4 linked regions of the Coturnix japonica genome follow. The protein of the gene in region 4 interacts with the protein of the main gene of each other region in a biochemical or structural test. Links are inferred from orthologs where the notes say so. Each region holds a gene or a part of one and is shown on either strand. Other genes may lie near its edges.

What was found.
Region 1: the proteins of DLG3 (region 4) and FRMPD4 interact in a test that uses a peptide from one of them, tested with the Homo sapiens proteins (2 studies listed by IntAct, with this or other methods). The link is inferred for Coturnix japonica from reciprocal best matches to the Homo sapiens genes DLG3 and FRMPD4.
Region 2: the proteins of DLG3 (region 4) and NET1 interact in a test that uses a peptide from one of them, tested with the Homo sapiens proteins (2 studies listed by IntAct, with this or other methods). The link is inferred for Coturnix japonica from reciprocal best matches to the Homo sapiens genes DLG3 and NET1.
Region 3: the proteins of DLG3 (region 4) and GDA form a complex in vitro, tested with the Homo sapiens proteins (2 studies listed by BioGRID and IntAct, with this or other methods). The link is inferred for Coturnix japonica from reciprocal best matches to the Homo sapiens genes DLG3 and GDA.

What each region holds. Positions count from the first base shown.
Region 1 is NC_029516.1:111,558,980-111,563,998, forward strand, and holds the start of FRMPD4 (FERM and PDZ domain-containing protein 4), read right to left. Parts: upstream 3,126-5,019; 5' UTR 2,906-3,125; coding exon 2,865-2,905; intron 1-2,864. UniProt on the Homo sapiens protein: Positive regulator of dendritic spine morphogenesis and density. Required for the maintenance of excitatory synaptic transmission. Binds phosphatidylinositol 4,5-bisphosphate.
Region 2 is NC_029516.1:1,179,971-1,185,019, forward strand, and holds the start of NET1 (neuroepithelial cell-transforming gene 1 protein), read right to left. Parts: upstream 3,126-5,049; 5' UTR 3,059-3,125; coding exon 2,958-3,058; intron 1-2,957. UniProt on the Homo sapiens protein: Acts as a guanine nucleotide exchange factor (GEF) for RhoA GTPase. May be involved in activation of the SAPK/JNK pathway Stimulates genotoxic stress-induced RHOB activity in breast cancer cells leading to their cell death.
Region 3 is NC_029547.1:32,037,685-32,042,658, forward strand, and holds the start of GDA (guanine deaminase), read left to right. Parts: upstream 1-1,849; 5' UTR 1,850-1,946; coding exon 1,947-2,069; intron 2,070-2,220; exon of another isoform or gene 2,221-2,319; intron 2,320-4,974. UniProt on the Homo sapiens protein: Catalyzes the hydrolytic deamination of guanine, producing xanthine and ammonia.
Region 4 is NC_029519.1:2,473,876-2,478,174, reverse strand, and holds part of DLG3 (disks large homolog 3), read left to right. Parts: intron 1-1,556; coding exon 1,557-1,675; intron 1,676-2,501; coding exon 2,502-2,645; intron 2,646-4,299. UniProt on the Homo sapiens protein: Required for learning most likely through its role in synaptic plasticity following NMDA receptor signaling.

The DNA.
Region 1 (5,019 bases), on a different chromosome or scaffold from region 4:
ATCCAGCAATTTTTGTGTGCACTTTATCTATCCTACTAATCCTCCTTTCTGAATTACAGATGCTACCGCACCGGACATACTTATGTAGCCCACACTACAAAAACATTCACCTGCCTCATCCAGCTGCACGAGATCCATTAAGACTTGGCAATCATTTTCTATATGTGGACGTTCATTAGAACAGCAGGTTTTTACAACTCTTTCCAGAGAAAGGCCCTACAAGATTTGTACCAAAACAGTTATTACCAAATCAGTGGAGAACTCTGGGCAAGAGTTTTCAAGGCCAAGCTTCCTGTCCACATCAAGGTGGATGGAGCTCAATGACCTCTTCCAACCTAAGCCGTTCTTTAAGTCAAATTTCTGCAAAGGGGAAGGGAAAGAAGGTATGCCAACAAAAGTGCCATCAGTATTTCTAAACAATACTTTTGTTTTCAGTGTCACAATGGACATCTCCAATCTTTACAAATCAATAGAGACTTCACCATGAACATCTTTATTAGATGCATGGTATACAACGTGACAGACCCATAAAGGCAAGGAGATAACAAGGAAAACCCCCTCCTCCTAAAGGCATACACATATAAGCTACTGCCCACTGAAGATTACGCCATGTGTATTACAATTACACTACAGCATTAAGAAGCAACCCCTTGCAGCAGCCATGCGTAACAGACTTGCCTGTGCCACTGCATGCAGAATCAAGGCCACTGGTTTCAACACTAAGAGTTGACTTGCAACCTCAAATGAGAAGATCTGAATGCACAGCAAAACAGAAAGAAGACTGAAAGCCATGAAAACATTCAGTACAAGCCAAGTCTGAAACAACTTTCCATAGGTACTCTGTCTGAAGATCACCCTTTCAGTTAAATACTGTTTGTTGTATGAGAGCTTTCTTCCAGAAAGGCCTTTTCTCCAACAGCTGAGGGAGAGCTGCTGCTTTCAATGCAGACGCACCAAGGGATTACAAATGGGGTTTACATTGAAGTCCACCTGCTCTACAAAGCTCTTGTGAAACTGGAACAGATAACTAGCTGTTACCTAGGAAACTGCAAGTAAAGTAAAGTCCTGTGTAAACTATTAGGTTGTTTAACAACCAGAAAATTAGAAACAAAAAGAGCAGCTTGGTACAGAAATGATTTACTGCGATCCACAAGCAAACTTGATCTGAGTGCTTCATATGCTCAATTCCAATGAAGCTGGACACAAGCTTTGAGACCTGTGGTTTCATTTCAGAAGAACCTTCAGGTCCTTCTGGAGAAATGCCGTGATCTTCCTGTAATTACTTAAACGCAAACCTCAGTGTTGGCAGAGTTCATGCTGTCAGGCGTGCAGCAAGCTACAGCCTTTGTACACCAACAAATACCAAGTACTACCACATGTACAAAAACTGCCAGGTACCTGGCTTAGTAACAGCTCTGAGCAGCATATCCCTTTCTTTCCCTTTGACTTAACTCAAGCATGACAGCTATGAAACATGAAGATCTGTGAGCTTCCCTAAAATAATGCTTGCAAACAAATACGAGAGCTCAAGCAATTCAATTACCTAATAATAAATACCCCACTACATGTCCTGCTCCTTGTCTGTTCTCACGTATTTTTCCTTCCTTCAAGTTTGCACTGTAGTTACAGCTCTGGCTGGGAGCACAAACAGGGAACGTCATGCAGGATACCAGTGTTCCAGCCTGCACCTCATGTCAGATCGCTCAGAGCAGGGCGAGACGATGATGTGCTTGAATGAGAACAGCTGCTCTGCCCTGGCAGGGCCAAGAACAGAGCTGTAATCACAGCCAGGTGCAGCGGAGGGAATTGGGGAATAGCAGCTCTGTTTGTACCTGTGGCATTCGGTGACTTCCAGCCACACAATATTTGTTTTAAGGACCATCCATCACTATGACACTCTCCCACCTGAGCGGCACCGGAGCAAGAGGCAGCCTTGCCTTCCCTCAGCAAGGCCCTTCCTTTTGCGTAACACCCGCTTTCATTCTGTGCCTCTCAAACAGCAAGGGCCGTGGTAACTATGGTGTACCAACACAAAATCATAAGAATTCAGAGCACTCCCGGTTACCGCGATCAAAGCTAAATCCTTTAGGAAGATTATCCACACCAAAACCCTGAAAAAATCCCCACAGCTCGAGCACTTCTATACTGCGTCTCCCAGGTGAAGCGTGGTTTCCCATTACTGAGGAGGGCTACTTCCAATGCCCCTAACTAGAGGGGAATGGGGTATCGGGGCTGCGCTCCTTCACCCGTCTGCGCAGCCTGGGGCCTGGCAACTCGCTGCCAGCGCAACAGTGAACACACAGACCGCAACTCCGAGGCCGCTCAATGAACATCTATCCATTGGAAAGAACACGTATGCTCCCACCGAGCACCGGCACGAAGCACATGCCCTGCGCGCAAGGGATCACTCGCATAACACCACCCCAGCATAACACCGTGCGAAAAAGAGGGGCAGCGCTCATCAGCTGCCGATGATTTCACCGCTTCTCTAAAAATATCGCCGTGGACGAGCCGGCGAGCAGCGCTCAGCGCAGAGTTGTAGCCAGGCGAACTAGGGGGCCACGGCACAACACGGCACGGCACGGCGCGCCCCGTCCCTCCCTGCCCACCCCTCGGCCAGGCGCTGCCCCTTTCCCCCCGGGCTCGCCCCCTGCCCGGCTCCCACCGCCGCACTCCGCGCTGCCAACACTTCTGGCCGCCCCTTCACGGCGGCGCTCCCAGGCGAGGAGGGCGCTGACCCGTCCCGCACGGAGCGGTCCCGGCAGCCGCCCCGCCCGAGCCGCCCCCTCTCCCCGCTGCCAGGGAAGTTGGGCTCCCCTCACCGGCGGTCCCCCGCCCTTCCGAGCCCCGGTACGGACACCTACCCGGAGAGCTTCCCAAGCTTCACAAAGCTAAACACATCCATCCATGCGGCCGGCTGCTCCGCCCGTCGCTCACTCGCTCACTCCAGCAGCAGCGGCGGCGGCAGCTCCATGTCGGCAGAAGGTTGCGTCCAGCGGCGGCAACAGCCCTCACACAGGCAGCAGCCGGCGGCGGCAGAGCCTGCTACCCCCCTCCGGCGGGGAGCTGGGCTTGCAGCATCTCGCAGGAGCGCCGTTCAGCCTCGCGCAGCCCTCCTCCTCCTCCTCCTCCTGCTTCTCCTCCTCCTCCGCCCCCCCCGCTCCCCGCTTGCCCGGCCCCCTCCTCGGGTAACTCTGGGCTGCGTGGCCGGAGGGTCGCCGTCAGCTCGGGCCCCCGCCGCCTCTGTGTCACGGCTCACGAGGAGAACGGCGAGGGGCAAAGGGGGTCCGCAAGGCGGAGGGTGGGGAAGAGGGAGTTTCTCTTCGCGCTGTTCCCGTGGGGGAGCGGAGGGCGCAGGCGGCCGCGGCCCGGGCGAGCGCCGCCCGCTGGCTGCTGCTGGAGGAGGCGTTGAGGGCCGGGCCCCGGGGCCTCGGTGCCAGTCGCCGCGGAACTCAGCGCTCACAGTCCCTTCGCTTCCCTCGGGACCCTTGATAGAGAAAGGACAGAATTACAGAATGACCCGGGTTGGAAGGGACCTCAAGGATCATGTAGTTCCAACCCCCCTGCCTGGCAGGGCCACCAAACATACACATTCACTAGATCAGGTTGCCCAGGGCCCCGTCCAACCTGGTCTTGAACACCTCCAAGGACGGGGCATCCACAAGGACGATCGGACCTGAGGAACAGGATAAGGCTCCCCGGCAGATGAGGGAAAGCACCTGCCAAGAAGGCTGCAGCTGGGAGTGCTCCTCCAAAAGCAGAAACTGTGGAAAGCGGACAGTTCTCTTTGCTCCGGTGAACCTCCCTGAGTGACCGCACCATTCCGTGCTACCCTCCATGATGGGGAAGGGCCCGCTGGACCCCTGTGTTGTGTATTAAGGATGGGCACTGACCGGCAACAGGGCAAACATCCATCTTCCTGGCTGGCACAGTGAGCAGCCTGTGACTGACCTCTGTCTCAAAAGACATCTGGAGTCACAGAATCACAGAACCATAGGAGTTGAAAGGGACTTCTGGAGATCACTTGGTTCAAGTCCTTACTAAAGCAGGTTTCCTACAGCAGGGGATCCTCTTGGTCCTGCCAGAAACACATCCAGGCCAAATCACAGCAGCATAAACAGCCTTCACCTTGTATTTTGTAGGTGAATTGTATGTCCTGATACACGAGCAACGCAGATACGCTGCTTAACATTTTTGCCCTGTATCAGGCTTACAAATAGGCTCTTGAGTTAGTTAGCTTTCTTTGAGTGAGCAGGATAGGAGCATGGTGAAATTCAAACTTATATTTGTGCAGTTCTACAGCATAATGCACAGGAATGCATTTTCTTCCTTTTTCTTTGTGTCTTTGCTAAATAGGCTGATAAGCCCTTTGCTTCCTGCCTGTGCATTATTTCTTCCTTTTGTTGTGGGCCTGTGCCTGTGCTGTCCCTCCACCCCAGACATGAGCAGAGAGCCAAACAAGTAGGCTCTAGCAGCCAGGTGAAAAACAATGCTTTTTTTTTTCTTAATTTTAAAACTTGTATTGCTAGGAGAGCAAAAAGAACAGGCAGTACGAACACTCACTGTGAACCGAGTCTCAAACTATTCTTTAAAACAATAACAAGAGAGGATGATTGATCATCTATTTACACTGAGAGAACATTGAGCCACCAGCTGCCCGACACTCACTGGCCTACCATAGGCCTAAATGGTTTGGGCTTATTAAGAAATGCCTTATGAAGTGTTTCATGTTACTACATGAAAATATTTACATGGTTCACCCATGGAACTATATTTGTTTATTGTTATGACACTTTTTTTTTTTAGAAAGCAAAGTCCCTGTGCCTGTCATTCACATTGCTGTGTTGACTGGTAAAAGTTATGAGGGTAACAGAGTCTCATCTGGTTAGAAACTGGTTTATTTATAAAAACTGTCATTTATTTAGAGACTGAGGAGACAGGCCAAGATCTTACAAAGCTAACTGTAGCTTATATACCATATATAAAATTAAGCACATATGTCCTGAATCAAACAAGACC
Region 2 (5,049 bases), on a different chromosome or scaffold from region 4:
TAAGCATCTTAATTTAAATGATGTTACTTGTGTTCTGCAGCAAGGTGGCTGGATGAGGAGCTATGAGATAAGGTTTAGTAGCTTAGAGTGATGGTGATAGGAGGATGGTTGGACTAGATGATCCTGTAGGTCCTTTCCAACCTTGTGATTCTATGATTCTCTCCATTTATAGGGTAGCAAAACCACAGCAGACAAGTTAAGAGATGACAGTATGAGAGAATCCATACAGGGAACAGGGCCAGCTTTGGGCTTTTCAGTATAAGGAACATCAGAAACTAGAACACATCCAGCCAATGGTAAAAGGTGCTAGGGCTGAAACACTAAATAAATGAAGAAAAACAGAATGGGCTCCCTCTGTATGGGGAGAGACTGCAAAGATGGCTCTAGCTATCTGAAAAGAAGTAGAGAAAGCAAGAAACCAAATATATTGTATGCACACAGCAGAATGGAAAGAGGCACAGCAAGGAAAAATCCCATTAGATATAAAGAAAAATGCTTTTGCGCAATACATGTGGTCAAACCTTCAAATATAGAGGCAATGAGATTTGTCTTTGGATGATTCTGATCTCACCTGGCCAATGCTCTGAGCAATTTGAGCTAAGTCTGTAGTTTTAAGGGCTGGGACTGGAGACCAACAAGCTCCAGTTTGATCATCAAGACAATATTGCAGCATGTTTCTATGTAAATATGTATTTTAAGGCTCATTGAAACATCCCACCTTATGAAACACTCAACAGTTACAAAAAGCCATTATCAAAACCAACATTGTAACACCACCATTCACTGCAGTCCTGTCCACAAAGAACCAGAGCAGTGAGGAAAAGATCCAGATCACAGGTCCATAGACCCTGAACCTGTATCTATTTGAACCCAAATCTGCTTTTTACAGCACCTGCAAAGTTGGAGGAGTCATTTCCTGACCCTGAGGGCAATAATAAATACAAACCTGAGCCGATCAAACAGGGTTTGTCCTGATAAAAGTCAACGGGAGTTGAGTCACTCGGGTCAACTAGTGCCAATAAACACATCCATGTATCAGGGGTCAACACAGATAAGATCATCCACGGGTTAACTTAAGACATAACGTCTTGTTTCACAGGGCTGTCTCAAGAAAGGTCTCACAAGTCCAAGCACATCAAAATAATAGATGGTATACAGAGGGATTTAAAAACGAGAGTAAAAGCCAAGGCTGACACTGGATCTCTTCCATACTTAACAGAGTTGATCTAGTGTTATGACTGGAGGAGATCCTGGAAGCTTGGCTGAGCTGGTGATGGCAGAGGGAGATTAAGCCCAGCCCAATTCAACCCACAGAGCAGCCCCAAACTCTATTTAACCACACATTACACCCAGCCAGAACCTTGTAGAATACAGAACCTAAAATGGGTGACAAAGAGGTACAGGGAAACAGTGTGAAAAGAGAAATCAATCCCCACATTGCACCAACAACCACCCTGAGGAGCAAAGACCCTCTATTTCTTCTCCGAGCCAAATAGGGACTGCAAGCATCTCACACTTGCACAGAAACCAGTTGGAGACCTGAAATGGGACCAAATATCCCTATTACGGGACAGAAACAGGCAGGAAAACATGTGATAGCCTGAGAAACACCCCCCTCCCATACACATAGCATACAATATAACACTGGGGCACCCTATGAGCATTAAAGACACTCAGGAACCACAGACACATCCACCTTATAAAGCAGGGAAGCATAGAGCAACGCACCCACTTTATATGGTGTGAGGGGTCCCGTAAAGCCATTAGACACAAGGGAGCTGCCCCCGTCAGACACAAGGGAGCTGCCCCCCATTAGACACAAGGGAGCTGCCCCCCATTAGACACAAGGGAGCTGCCCCCCAGTCGACACAAGGGAGCTGCCCCCCAGTCGACACAAGGGAGCTGCCCCCCAGTCGACACAAGGGAGCTGCCCCCGTCAGACACAAGGGAGCTGCCCCCGTCAGACACAAGGGAGCTGCCCCCGTCAGACACAAGGGAGCTGCCCCCCGTCAGACACAAGGGAGCTGCCCCCCGTCAGACACGAAGGAAGCTGCCGCCCCGTTCAGACACAAGGCGAGCTGCCGCCCCGTCAGACACCAAGGGAGCTTGCCCCCCGGTCAGGACAAAGGAGCTGCCCCCCGTCAGACAGCGAAGGGAGCTGGCCCCCCGTCAGGACACAAGGGAGCTGCCGCCCCGTCCAGACACAGAGGAGCTGCCCCCCGTCAGACCACAAGGGAGCTGCCCCCCGTCAGACACAAGGGAGCTGCCCGAGGCGCCCCGTCAGGACACAAGGGAGCTGCCCCCCGGTCAGACACAAGGGGAGCTGCCCCCCGAGGAAGCTTGCCCCCCGTCGCAGACACAGGAGCTATGCCCCCCCGTCAGACACAAGGGAGCTGCCCCCCGTCAGACACAAGGGAGCTGCCCCCATCAGACACAAGGGAGCTGCCCCCATCAGACACAAGGGAGCTGCCCCCATCAGACACAAGGGAGCTGCCCCCATCAGACACAAGGGAGCTGCCCCCCGTCAGACACAAGGGAGCTGCCCCCCGTCAGACACAAGGGAGCTGCCCCCATTAGACACAAGGGAGCTGCCCCCATTAGACACAAGGGAGCTGCCCCCCTTAGACACAAGGGAGCTCCCCCCCCATTAGACACAAGGGAGCTCCCCCCATTAGACTCAAGGGAACTGCCCCATTAGACAGAAGGGAACTCCCCCCATTAGACACAAGGGAGCTCCCCCCATTAGACACAAGGGAGCTCCCCCCATTAGACACAAGGGTGAAGGGCCCCTTTAAGGATGTTTAAAGCACCATAAAGGCTGAGGAAAAAAGGGGAAACGTCCCCTTTATATGCCAGGAAGACGGGAATAGATCCCCTCCTCACTATATACACACATAAAGGGAGAACCACAGGCCTCAGCCCCTGACAGAAAGACGGGGAGACACGGCGGCTCCTACCGGCTGCTGTCCGCCGGGGGCGAGCGGCTGGCGCTTGTTCCAGCACTAACCCTCCCTCTTTTCCGCCGAGGGGGCTTCTGAGCCACGGGCTCGGCTTCCATGGTGAAGAATCAGGCTGAGGAACGGGGGGGGAAACCGGACGGCACCGCACAAAATGGCGGCGGCGAAAAACAACTGAGGCGGCGAACCGGCGGTTTGAAAATGGCGGCGGTGAGGGGAGGCAGCCAATCAGAGAGGAGGGTGGGGTGAGTTGCTAGGAGACGAGCGAGGGGGGGAGGAGTGTCGCCGCCGTTGACCACAGCGCCCCCTTGTGTCCTGCTGCTGTAACTGCAGGCTTGGAGGACCTAGGAATGGGGGAAACTGAGGCACGGAAGCCATTTTTCCTCCAACCCCTTCATCTTCCTCAATTCTCATCTTTTCTCCTCAGAAAACTCATATCCAACACCTCAAGGCCTCGAGGAGGGTAGCAATGTCAACCCCAACGCCTCACGGCCTCGAGGAGGGTAGCAATGTCAACCCCCAAAGCCTGAAATCACCTGATGAATAGAGGAAAAACACGTGTCCCTCTTGAAGCTTGAAAATGCACCTCTAAGAAGTGGGCTGGAATATTAAAAATACGCCTCAGAAATAGGCTTGTGTGTTAAAAATATACCCCAGACTGCCTCAAAATGGACACAGAAGTGGTTTAAATGTGGGATGTACCCCAGCAAGAGTGAGATCTGCGGCCTTATGGTGAAGCCTGCAGTGTCCCAGCGTGAAGCTGATGTGTAAACTGTTTTAAATGGGGTCTTAAATTGTGATGGTGATGGAAAAAAGCAGATGTCTTGGCTACAAACCCCCATAGATTCTGCCTTGGGAAAGCTATTATGCACCTGTGAGCTCCCACCAGCCCCAATTCAACTTAAGTGGTGTTTTGAGCAAGGTGCTTGAATGGGAAAGTGTGTCCTCCTTGGGTGAAATCTCATTTTTTCCTCCATTTTCAGCCCTTTCCCTCTGTGAAAAGTGGCTGTTAATAGGGAGGAAGAGTCTGTCCTGGAGTAGCAACCCCAAAGGGTCCCCGAAGAGACAGAGAGGTAATGGTTTATCTTCACTTAAAAACTGGAATGATCTCCTTTGGAATGCCTTTGGACCAGAAAATTTTGGCCAAGAAATCTCCCTTTAACAATGCTGGCACCCCAGAATACTGTGCTGGAACCACCTTTTGCAGTTTATCATCTTTATTCCAGGTGCAGGTTGGTCTCAACTTCTGTGCAGCTGTTAGACAAAATGCTTTGAAACCCATTAAAAACCCCACATACGTGCCAGGTATTGGCTGTTTTTTAGTCAGGAATCAGAAATGGATTCTTCAGGAGTACTAAAATACAAACCCAAACTTTTGAAGTGGGATCTGCAACTTGATTCAGAAGTCGATACCCCGACTTTAAGCTGAACAGAGCAGCCTGCCAAAGGGTTAAACATAACCATATGCAAAGCAAAGGTTTGAAGACTTTAGAAAGAAACCGTACTTCTATTTTGAAATATACCAGTGGGAAGGGAGGAAGAGTGAGCACATGCAATGCACCAGGAGATGCATTAGAGTATGCCAGAGCAGTCAGACTTAGCACTGATATACCATGCCAAAGCGAAAGGAATTAGTGGTGCTTATTCTATTCTAGTACAGATTTAACATAACAAAACTGTGAAGTTTCTTTAGTTGTCCAAGCCTAAACAGCTTAGCAAATTTTCTTGCCTCCCCCTCAGTATTTCTTCTACACTGACTTATAATCACTGGTAAGCATTCAGCTGCACCAGACCAACTCTTTCATTTCTTCCCAGTCCTCCAAAGCTCTGTCTCCTACCCCAGGGACCTTTTTCTCCTCTGCTGAGTCCTTGTTTCTAGGTTGGAAAATCTCCCTGTCTTTCAGAACCTCCTGATTTTTGCATTCTGCTGTGGCCTCAGCCACATCCATCCCCCCCCAGCGCAGTAGGCAGCAAGCCATGGACTTGTCAAATGATTTTTCCATCTGGTTGGAGAACTTGGAACAGACATTTGTGATCTGAAAGGTACTCGGGGCATTATTCTTCTGCTAAAACTATAGGTGTCGAGGTCATG
Region 3 (4,974 bases), on a different chromosome or scaffold from region 4:
CACCTCTGCAGGGCTCAGTCTCTGTTTATCCCATTGCTCAGCTTTTCTCCTTTTACCTTTTGGCTCTCAGTGACAAGAACAGTGTACTGTTCACTTATTGTCCTTCATAAAACAAAAGGCAATTTTTTCCTCTTGGGGGCTCAGCTTGGAACACAGATGGGTTGAGCTGCAGCCTTAACAAACCCAGGAGTATCACCCTGAGAAACATCATTGCAAGAGGGATTTTCATGTTCTAATTTAAAGGAGTTCTTATGTTTCTTCTCTTTCCTTTTTCTTTTCCATGTATTACTCCACTGCTGAAGGAAAAATGAAGTACTATAGTCTTGAAAGCAAACAGAATTGCATGAAAGATTATCACTCCAATTTCCTTCGAAAACTACACTAACTAGTTTTGTTTTGTTTTGCAAGCCTATCTGGTCAAAGAGCTTAGAAATACAATGAAAAGCTGCCTAGTCTTAAAAAGCCATTTTCTCTCTCTGGCATCTTCTTTAAAGGCAAGACCTCACACAAGATGTTAACAATGTCAGAATGTAAGTCCATTTCATTTAGGACAGTCCTTATGGCTTGCTGACAGTAAAGTCAAGGAGGGTTTTTATCTGGCTTCAGTACACTCACGTGGTTTTAAACTTGCTTATTGGTAACCTAAAAGATTCTTGCTCAAAAGAAGACAAGATAAATGCTGATGATATGCCCATAGCAGACCAAAATTAAATTAATCTTGTGCTTTTCCCTTTTTCTCTTTCCACCATTGATCTGGAGAGCTTGCAGAAAAGATAACCTCTGCTGTGAGTTTGTACACTGTCAGCACAGAGGGAAGGGTAAAGGTCCTTAATGGCAAACTTTGCATTGCAGCTTTGACACGAATAGTGCCAGCACCCGGGTGCCAAGTTCATTCATTACCTGGCTGCCTGATTGTGCAGGGTGACTTCTGACAGGAGTTCAGAGAATGCTCATGGCCTTAACTATGCTTGCAACACTGTGGCACCATGAAGCCTTATCCTAGTATTTTCACTAGTGGTGCTCATAGCATATAGCATCATAGGATCATAGCACTGAGGGAGGGAAATGGATCCTTAAAGGCCATCTAGTCCAACTGCCCTGCAACAAACAGGGACACCTACAACTCAGTCAGGTCCCTAAGAGCCTTGTCCAGCCTGACCTTCAATCTCCAGAGACAGGGCAGCCACCACACCTCTGAGCAGGATGTTCCAGTGCTTCACCATCCTTGTTCTGAAAAACATTTTCTTTATAATCAGTTTAAAATCTCCCCTCTTTTAGTTTGACATAAACATAAACATATATTTGTATTGTTTTTCAACTTAGGTTGTGGTCCTGAAAGTGTAGTTCTCTGGGTTCACAGCATCGATTCACCTCTACTTTTTGCTTCTCTGTAGCCTTTTTCACACACACTGAAGGCCACCTCCATTGATTGAACAAGGCATCTGGCTGCTGCTTGGCAGCTCAGGCACCTGGACTGGCAACTATTTCCTGCTACCAACAAGCAGCGCAGGATCTAAGGACAGGAGATACAGTCAGTGAGATTTATCGCTGATAACTGGGTACAGAATGAAGTGGTAAGCGCCATGAAGTGATACTAAAGATACATATCTAATGATTGCCATGCTTAAAATCGGGTCAGTTCCTTCGAAAACGTCCAACAGATTTGCCAGCGACCCGGGCTCAGTGCAACAGGTGCCAGCTGGACCGGGAGACGCTGCCGACGAAACTTCGGGAAGCGACCTCAGCCTCCCCCGCACTCCACGACCAAGCGGCACGGTCGGACCCAGGCTCGGAGCGGGGCGGGGGCCGCCGAAACCCCACCCCGCGGGGCAAGTCACCAGGGGGTGGGGAGATGGTGACAGCTCCAGGAAGCCACGCTCGGCAGCGGCAGACAGCGGGAAGCAGCTGGCCGCAGCAGCACTCCTACCAGCGCAGCCGTCCCCGCTATGGGCTCCCCGCAGCGCCCTCCGCTCGCCCATGTCTTCAGGGGCACCTTCGTGCACTCCCGGCCCGACGCGCCCATGGAGATCCTGCACGGCCGCCTGCTGGGGGTTGACGACGGCGGCACGGTGAGAGGCGCGGGGCCGCGGGGCGATGCGGGAACCTACGCCGTACGGAGGCGGTCAGGAAACGGGGACCTGTCCGATCGAAGCGGGTGGGGTGGGACCTCGGGGAAGAGATCGGAGTCTGGGGGCAGCCGGAGAGGACGGAGCAGCGTGTCCGCGGGGAGCTCCAGCCTGCTGTGGGGCGACGTATGTTCCCAGAGCACCTGGAGCGCGGCTGTGCTCGGCTGGTCTCCGTTTTCCTTCTGTCTTACAGGTGAATTTGTCATTCTCCGTGTCAGAACAGTAAGAATGGGTGTGGATAGTTGCCGAGTCCCCCCTGTACAGAGTGGTCTTTTTCTTCTTGTTACAAGAAAAAGCATGGAATGTGCCCTTAAAAAGTTTGGAGAACGGTACCGCTGGGCACGTTAATGGCACAAACTGAATCTAAAACGAATGTAAAACTGATAGCGCAGGGCCGGTCCTGGCAGGAAGCTCAGCCATGTCACTGGTTGAGACTCAGCTTCACGGTGCGTAGGCAGAGCAGCAATTTCGCCTAGACTTAGCAATGCATGTAGCAACCGTAGGTATAAGGAGAAAAGTCATTTTCTTTTCTTCTGATGACTGTACAATTGCATCAGGCTTTGGTAATGTTTGAAATACATTGAAAATACACAGTTAGTTCCTGCAGTTCACCATCCTTCACCATCCACACAGGTCCATGAAGATCTCCTTCAAGTCAGTTCTCCTACAGCTATTCTGAGTCTGGCACAGTGTATAGCAGAGTCCCTGAAAAGCTGGATAGGAGGTGAATAAAAAGATAGAAAGTTATGTATTGAGAGATGTCAACTAAAAGCAATAGAGCCGAATGAATAAACGTTTTGGTTTGTGTACCTTGGGTGCAGGAAGTGGAAACTTCTGTCTCTCATCTTCCTCTCTTAGTGCTAATTCTTGGTAAATGTCACTATGTTGTGTTCTAAGCAAATTATTGCTTTCCAAGGATTTTCTTGAAAAACACACACTGTATCTGTACCATGCTCTATCTATTGATTTCTGCCTCAGGAGAGTTGCTCTCCTCCTCTGGAGGTATTCAAGACCCACCTGGGTATCTACCTGTGTGGCTTGCTGTAGGAGGCTGCTTTGCAGGGGGGTCTGGACTCAATGATCTCTGGAGTTCCCTTCCAGCTCCTACAGTTCTGTGATTCTATGATTCTGTTTATCTCTCCCCCTTCTCTTGGTGAACAAGGATGCACTGGATGTGTTTGCCATGCATAAGTTGATGCATTTCCACGCTGTTTAAGAAAAAAATCTGGTAAAACACTATTGTCCAAAAGGAAAACTTTAACCAGAATAGATTGATAAGGACTTTCATAATCTTTTCTGTTTGGGAATTCGTGACATTTTACAATTCCAGGGTCTAGCACAGTGCGGTTTGTTACCATTTAGCCTGTTATCATAATTTTGCTACATGGAGAACTTCCCCTGTAATCACTGAATATGTGCTTCTATGAGAAGGACATGGTAGTTCAAAGATTTTTACCTCTATTGTCAAGATATACACCAATACAATTTTGCTATTGCTTCCAAAGAATTAAGCTTAACTAGGTTTAAATAAGCTTAACTTTTGCCTCACGTTGCTGATTCCATCATGCAAAGTTGATCTCAGGAGAGCTGAACGGCTTTTGTGGTTAGCCAGGTGCTGTTCTCACAGCCGCAGGAGTGCACAGCCAGGACACAGAGTGCTGCCTGGTCCCGTGCTGCATGCTGAAACACAGCTGTAGAGCCACAGATGGGGTGTCAGCTCTCTTTGCTTTGCCTTCAGATGAAAAGGGAGCTTTAATAAAGAAAGCACTGCCTTCAGGAATGCACACCCAAATTATCGTAAGTTAACAAAGTAAGTCTATGTTTAGAGTGGTTTGCAGAGCAGCACAATGCTCTTGAGGAGTTGCCAATAGAAAGGGTAACATTTGTCAAGGTAAGGAAAATAAAGCCAGCTGCAGACTGGGTTGTTGTTGAAATGCTGGTGTGAATAATATAGCTGAGTAAAATATTAAGAAAGTAGAACAAGTATCAAGATAAAAGCTTCCTTTGAATGACTAGGAGAAAATGTCATGGAGTAAGTGTTGATATTGTCAAGTAATGACAATTTGACTTATACCAGCTGTGATAGCAGGTGTCGTGTGTTAGCTGACAGGGGAGGAAGGTATCAAGTCAAAAACTGATATGTGGGGTTCATTGATTCATCCTTCTCAGCAGTTTGGGCTGTTGAGTTTTTGAGCAGTGTAGTTTGATAAGCAATGCTGTCTCTCATCTAACCCTGTATTTCAGTTTTGAGAATTAAATAAGCAATAGACATCATATCTGTAATGATCAAACTGTTGAAGATGGTAGCCTCATTAAACAGTGCTGACAGCAGCTCAGTGAGGCCAAGAATGGGACAGCGTAATGGTAGGAGGCAGGAAACAGCTGTGTTAGTGCCAGCAGCTGACCACTGTGGGCACAGAGTGAGATGTGAAGGATGTGGGAGGGAGAGAAGAAAGGACTTGTTGCTCATGTTCAACTCAATGTCATAATTGAAACAAATACAGATACTGCTGCTGGATCTAGAGGGAGGAAAAGATAAAAAAAAATAAAAATAAAAAATAGAAAAAAAAAGCATGTTTCATAGGGCAATCTAACTCACGTTCTATCTTCCTACTCACACTATAGTGCTTGGTGGCACTCAGGGTTTACTGTATCAGGGTTAATATATAATTAACTGGGCCATCTATGTGCTCATGTTGTCTGAGGCTTTGGACATCTCCTGAGATTAAGAAAAGGGGCTGATGATGACCACTCAGCTCATCATCTTCTGATCCTTTAGATGTATCACATGGATGGCACATAATAGTTGATTAGCCGCTGTTGGCAGCTGGTAGTAGCTGTTGATCTA
Region 4 (4,299 bases):
GGCCAAGCACTGCACCGGTGCCCTGTGTTGCCGTGCCTGTGCTCTGCTGGATGTTGTTCCCTCAGGCTTCCCCTGCAGCTTCTTGCATCCTAACAAAAGGTTCATCTGTTTGATGCATGGAGCCCAGGAGGGAAGTATTCGGCCATGCCTGATCTCTCTTCTTCTGTGTCAGTCTGGAGTTTTCTTCCTTATTGGATTCAAAGTGGACTTACGCAGACATCAAATGGGCACCAGCCTGTAAACAGAACATGGGACTCCCCAGGACCCCATCCCCAAGGCTCCCCACTGCCCATGGTGACATTCCTGCCTCAGACAGGGACACCAGCAGTAGTGTTCCACTGCGACAAAACCATCCAAATCCTGTGTTCATTTTTGGGAACTCCTGTGCATTCCAAGCCTAATCCACGCAGCCAGGAGCCCCTGGTATCCTGTTACGCAACGACTATTTTCATAAGCAGAAGGAGAGATGTTTTTGCACAAAAACAAAGTCTGTCTGTCCGGCTGTGAGCCAAACACTGGCCATGACCTCAGGGCTGATCAGTGATGGCTTCAGGAGCAGCTTTTGCCACCAGAGGTGCACCTGGGGCTGGTGCATCCCTCCCTTCTCTTCCCATGGCCTTTGGGTTTCCTGCAGGGCACCCTTTGCTAAGCACCAGGTTCTGGAAAATCTGCTAAAGATGTAGTTTGACAAACCCTCCTGAAGCCTTTGGTTCCCTTTGGGGGTTGCTGCAGAATCACAGTATCACAGAACCAGTAAGGTTGGAAAAGACCACAAAGCTCACCTACTCCAACCCATCCCCACAATGCCCAGTAACCTGGGGCTCCCCAGGCTCCTCTGCAGCGCACACAGAAAATGAATTTGTTTTCCCTGCTGTGGTTTTCCTCCTTCTGAGTGCTTCTTTCCGCCCAGCCCCTTTCTGGCCCCGCAGCCCTGACTGCTTCCAGTCTTCTGTGTGCTGTCAGGATTTATGACTTTGCCATGCTGCATGCAAGGCGTTCACCAAACCCCCTCAGCCAACCTCTTGGAGTGGTACATTTAACCTGGCAGCGTTTACCATCCTATCTGGTTTTCTCATTTGGACACTGTTTCAGCTATTTAGGGGCATGCCTTCTCCCTTCCAAAGCCCCCTTTCCCGCAGTGCTTTTCTCCTTTTTGCTGTGTACCATCCACAAGCCAACGCTGCATGTGTGCTCTGATGTCATGATGCGGAGCCTCTAAATAGGCTTTGCTGCTTCCCACCCTCTTTGTCACCCCTTCCAGTTTCTTTCTGAAGAGCTCCTTGCTTTTTCTGTAGCTCCCCTTATGAAACTGAACACTGAAATGTGGTGATGTGAGATTTGTTGCTCCTGCAGCACTGGGCTGGGGTTGCTGCGTGTTTCCATTAGGAAGTGCAGCAGCCCCACTGCTTCCTGTAGTGCCCCGTGGGTGGGATGGAGAGGAGAAAATGCTCCTGGCAGGGCTGGGAGGAGGGACCTGCAGACCCTGCACCCGATGCAGGACATTGGCACTACACTCCCTGCCCACTCCTGATGATGTTTCTGGTGCTGTTTTGTAGATATCCATGAATTCTATGACTTCACGCTGCGCTCGGCTTCCCTGCAGCCTTCCAGCCCAGCAGTGCATCGTAGCCCAGCCAGGCACCGCAGCCCCAGAGAGACCCACAGCCCCCCCGAGGTAAGAGCCGCTCCGTTTCCTGCAGTGGGGACAGGTTGGCACCAGCTGCCATGCCAGCAGTGTGTTTCCACACCTCCTCTGTCAGAGATTCCCTCGATAATTAGGAAACGTCTCTCATTCATGAGCGCTAATTGAATTATTCCTAATGCAAATGAGTTCAGCTCTAGCTCTGCTTTCTGCTGTGGATGTACTGGGACTCTGATCGAGCCACCTCACAAGCTGCTTTTGATAACTGGAGTTGGGCCTTTCAAGTTTCCTTTCTCAGGATTTTTTCCAGCTCTCTGATAACTTCCACGTCTCTTATTTGCATTCTCTTTAATTTCCAACAGTCTTTTAAGAGATACAGCACCAGACAGAGAGGCAGTGACTGAACAGTAGGATCTGAGTTATCTCCTAGGCACAAAAGCTAATTGAATTGCCTTGATGGAGTGGGGGCAGTTTTGACTTTCCAGGGCTGCTCCAGTCCTTACCTCACAGCTCTCGATCTGGTCTATGGCAATGGATCCGTTTTCAAGTGGGCTTACAACCTGTTTCTGAAGCAACAGGCACCGGGATCCTATTTAGTTTTCTGGGGCTGCAAGAGACTCATTTTCAGCAGTGGGGTCCACCTGCCCGAGCACGCAGACACCATCACACCACTCCTTTCTCTAAAGAGATGCGTGGAGACATCTCATATTGCTGGAACATAGAATGGAACGGGTTGAGTTGGAAGGGACCTAAAAGATCACCTGTTCCCAGGCCAGCAGTGGGATCCCCCTGTCCTGAATGGCATCCCAGGGGCTCGCAGCTCTCCCTACCCACTTCTGTGTCCTGGGTCTCATTGCAGCCACCAGCCCAGGATGATGAGCAAAGGCTGCTCGCGGTGACGCCGGCAACGCCCCCAAGGCTGGTGAGGGTGACAGCACGGCGGACGGAGGTACCAACCAGCATCTGCAGCCTGGTGCTGGGCTCCCGCAGTGCCCTGCCGCAGGTGAGCCCCCGCACCGCGTCCCACCCGGCCGCCGGCTGCCACCGCGTGGACAGCACCGGGGCTGCGTGCCCGTAGCACTGTGGGATGGTGCTGGGGAAGTGCCTGGGGCTGGTGTTTCCTCGGGCTCTTCCCGTTGGTGATGCTCAGGCTGGGAAACGTGGCAGTAACACCAACAGCATCCCCTGTGCGTTAGCACTCATGTGGTCCAGCGTCAGCATTGGGAGGGCAGATGGATGTGGTACAGGATGGAAATCCTCCCAGCCCCATATCTCCATCTCACTCCCACCTCGCAGATTTCCACCTTTTTCTCTCTCCGAGCTCCTCAATGGCAGGTCCATTCCTCAGCATACCAGGAGCTTTTCTCTGCTGTTTGCCATCTATCTGGATGTGGGTCGTAAATCTCAGCTCCCTCCTGGTGTGAGCGCATCGCGTGGGCTCCGTACCTGATGTTGGTTGTAGGGACGAGTGAAGGGCAAAACACACTCTGAGCCTTTAGGGAGGGATGGAGTGGCTGTGATGGATGGAGCTCACCAGACGTAAAATAACATGAAGGCTTTGTTTTCCTTGGCACAGCTTTAATCAGTCCTCGTTTGCTAGGTTGGATTCTTCTTCCAAAGTATTTTAAACGTGAAGATCACGCTGCTGCTTTTCTCCCCATTTTAAGTGTTTCCCTTCTCGCTTTAGACTCCAATAAAATGGGTGATGCCCCATTTTTTTCCTTACTGTTGAATTTCTCCTTTTCCTCTCCCTGCTCTCTCTGCGTCTTCAAACACTCACCAAATCCTTACCATGGAACAGGGGGGGGACTGTGGTTAAATGGAGACAAGAGGTGCAGTTTGCAATCAGCCCAGCCCTGGTGGTGGTCATTTCAGCAGTGAAAACTTTGTGTGTGCTGGGAATCCACCTGCTTTTATTACTTCATCCACTGGGATTTTGGATGGAGCCCTTCCCCCTTGTGTTCCACTCTGGCATCCCTGGGCTGCACTCGTGGATGTGGGGCTCTCAGGGGCAAGAACCTACAAGCACAGCATTCAGCCCCACACACCTGGCTGAGATGCAGACACCTCCCCTCTACTTTGAGGTTTCACACGGTGGGGAATCTGCTCTGTGATAGTCCGGCTCTCCTGATGGTTATTTATCCTTTCCATTAAAAACGTGCACTTTACTGATAGCCTGGATTCCTCTTGCTTTAGCTCCCAGCCCCAGGAGGTTTTGCTGCCTTTGTTTGCCAGGATAAAGGGCCGCAGCCATCAGAACAGTTCCCAACATGATGGTATTTATAGATGCGTCTGAGTTCCCTTTTAACTTTCCCTTAGCTAAACTAAACAGATTGGCTTCCTCACTCACTCGGTGTTGTTCCAGCCCTGAAATCATTCCTGTCATTCTTTTCTGAAGCGTTCCTTTTCTTTTTAGCCTTCTCCTTGTATGGGGTCAGGTCAGGGTGATGGGCACCTTTCAGCCAGATCAGTATACCCACAGCTATTCCCTCCCAACCTGAAAGGGTGCAGAGCAGGGGTCTGGAGGAAAGACCTTTGGGATGATGATGTGCAGTGGTTGGCCATGCTTGGGGCTCTTCTGTCCACGGGGCAGCTCTCCTGGACCATGGGAACAATCAGTGCTGGAAGCTGCAGGCTTGGAGCTGCTTCTCTCCAAG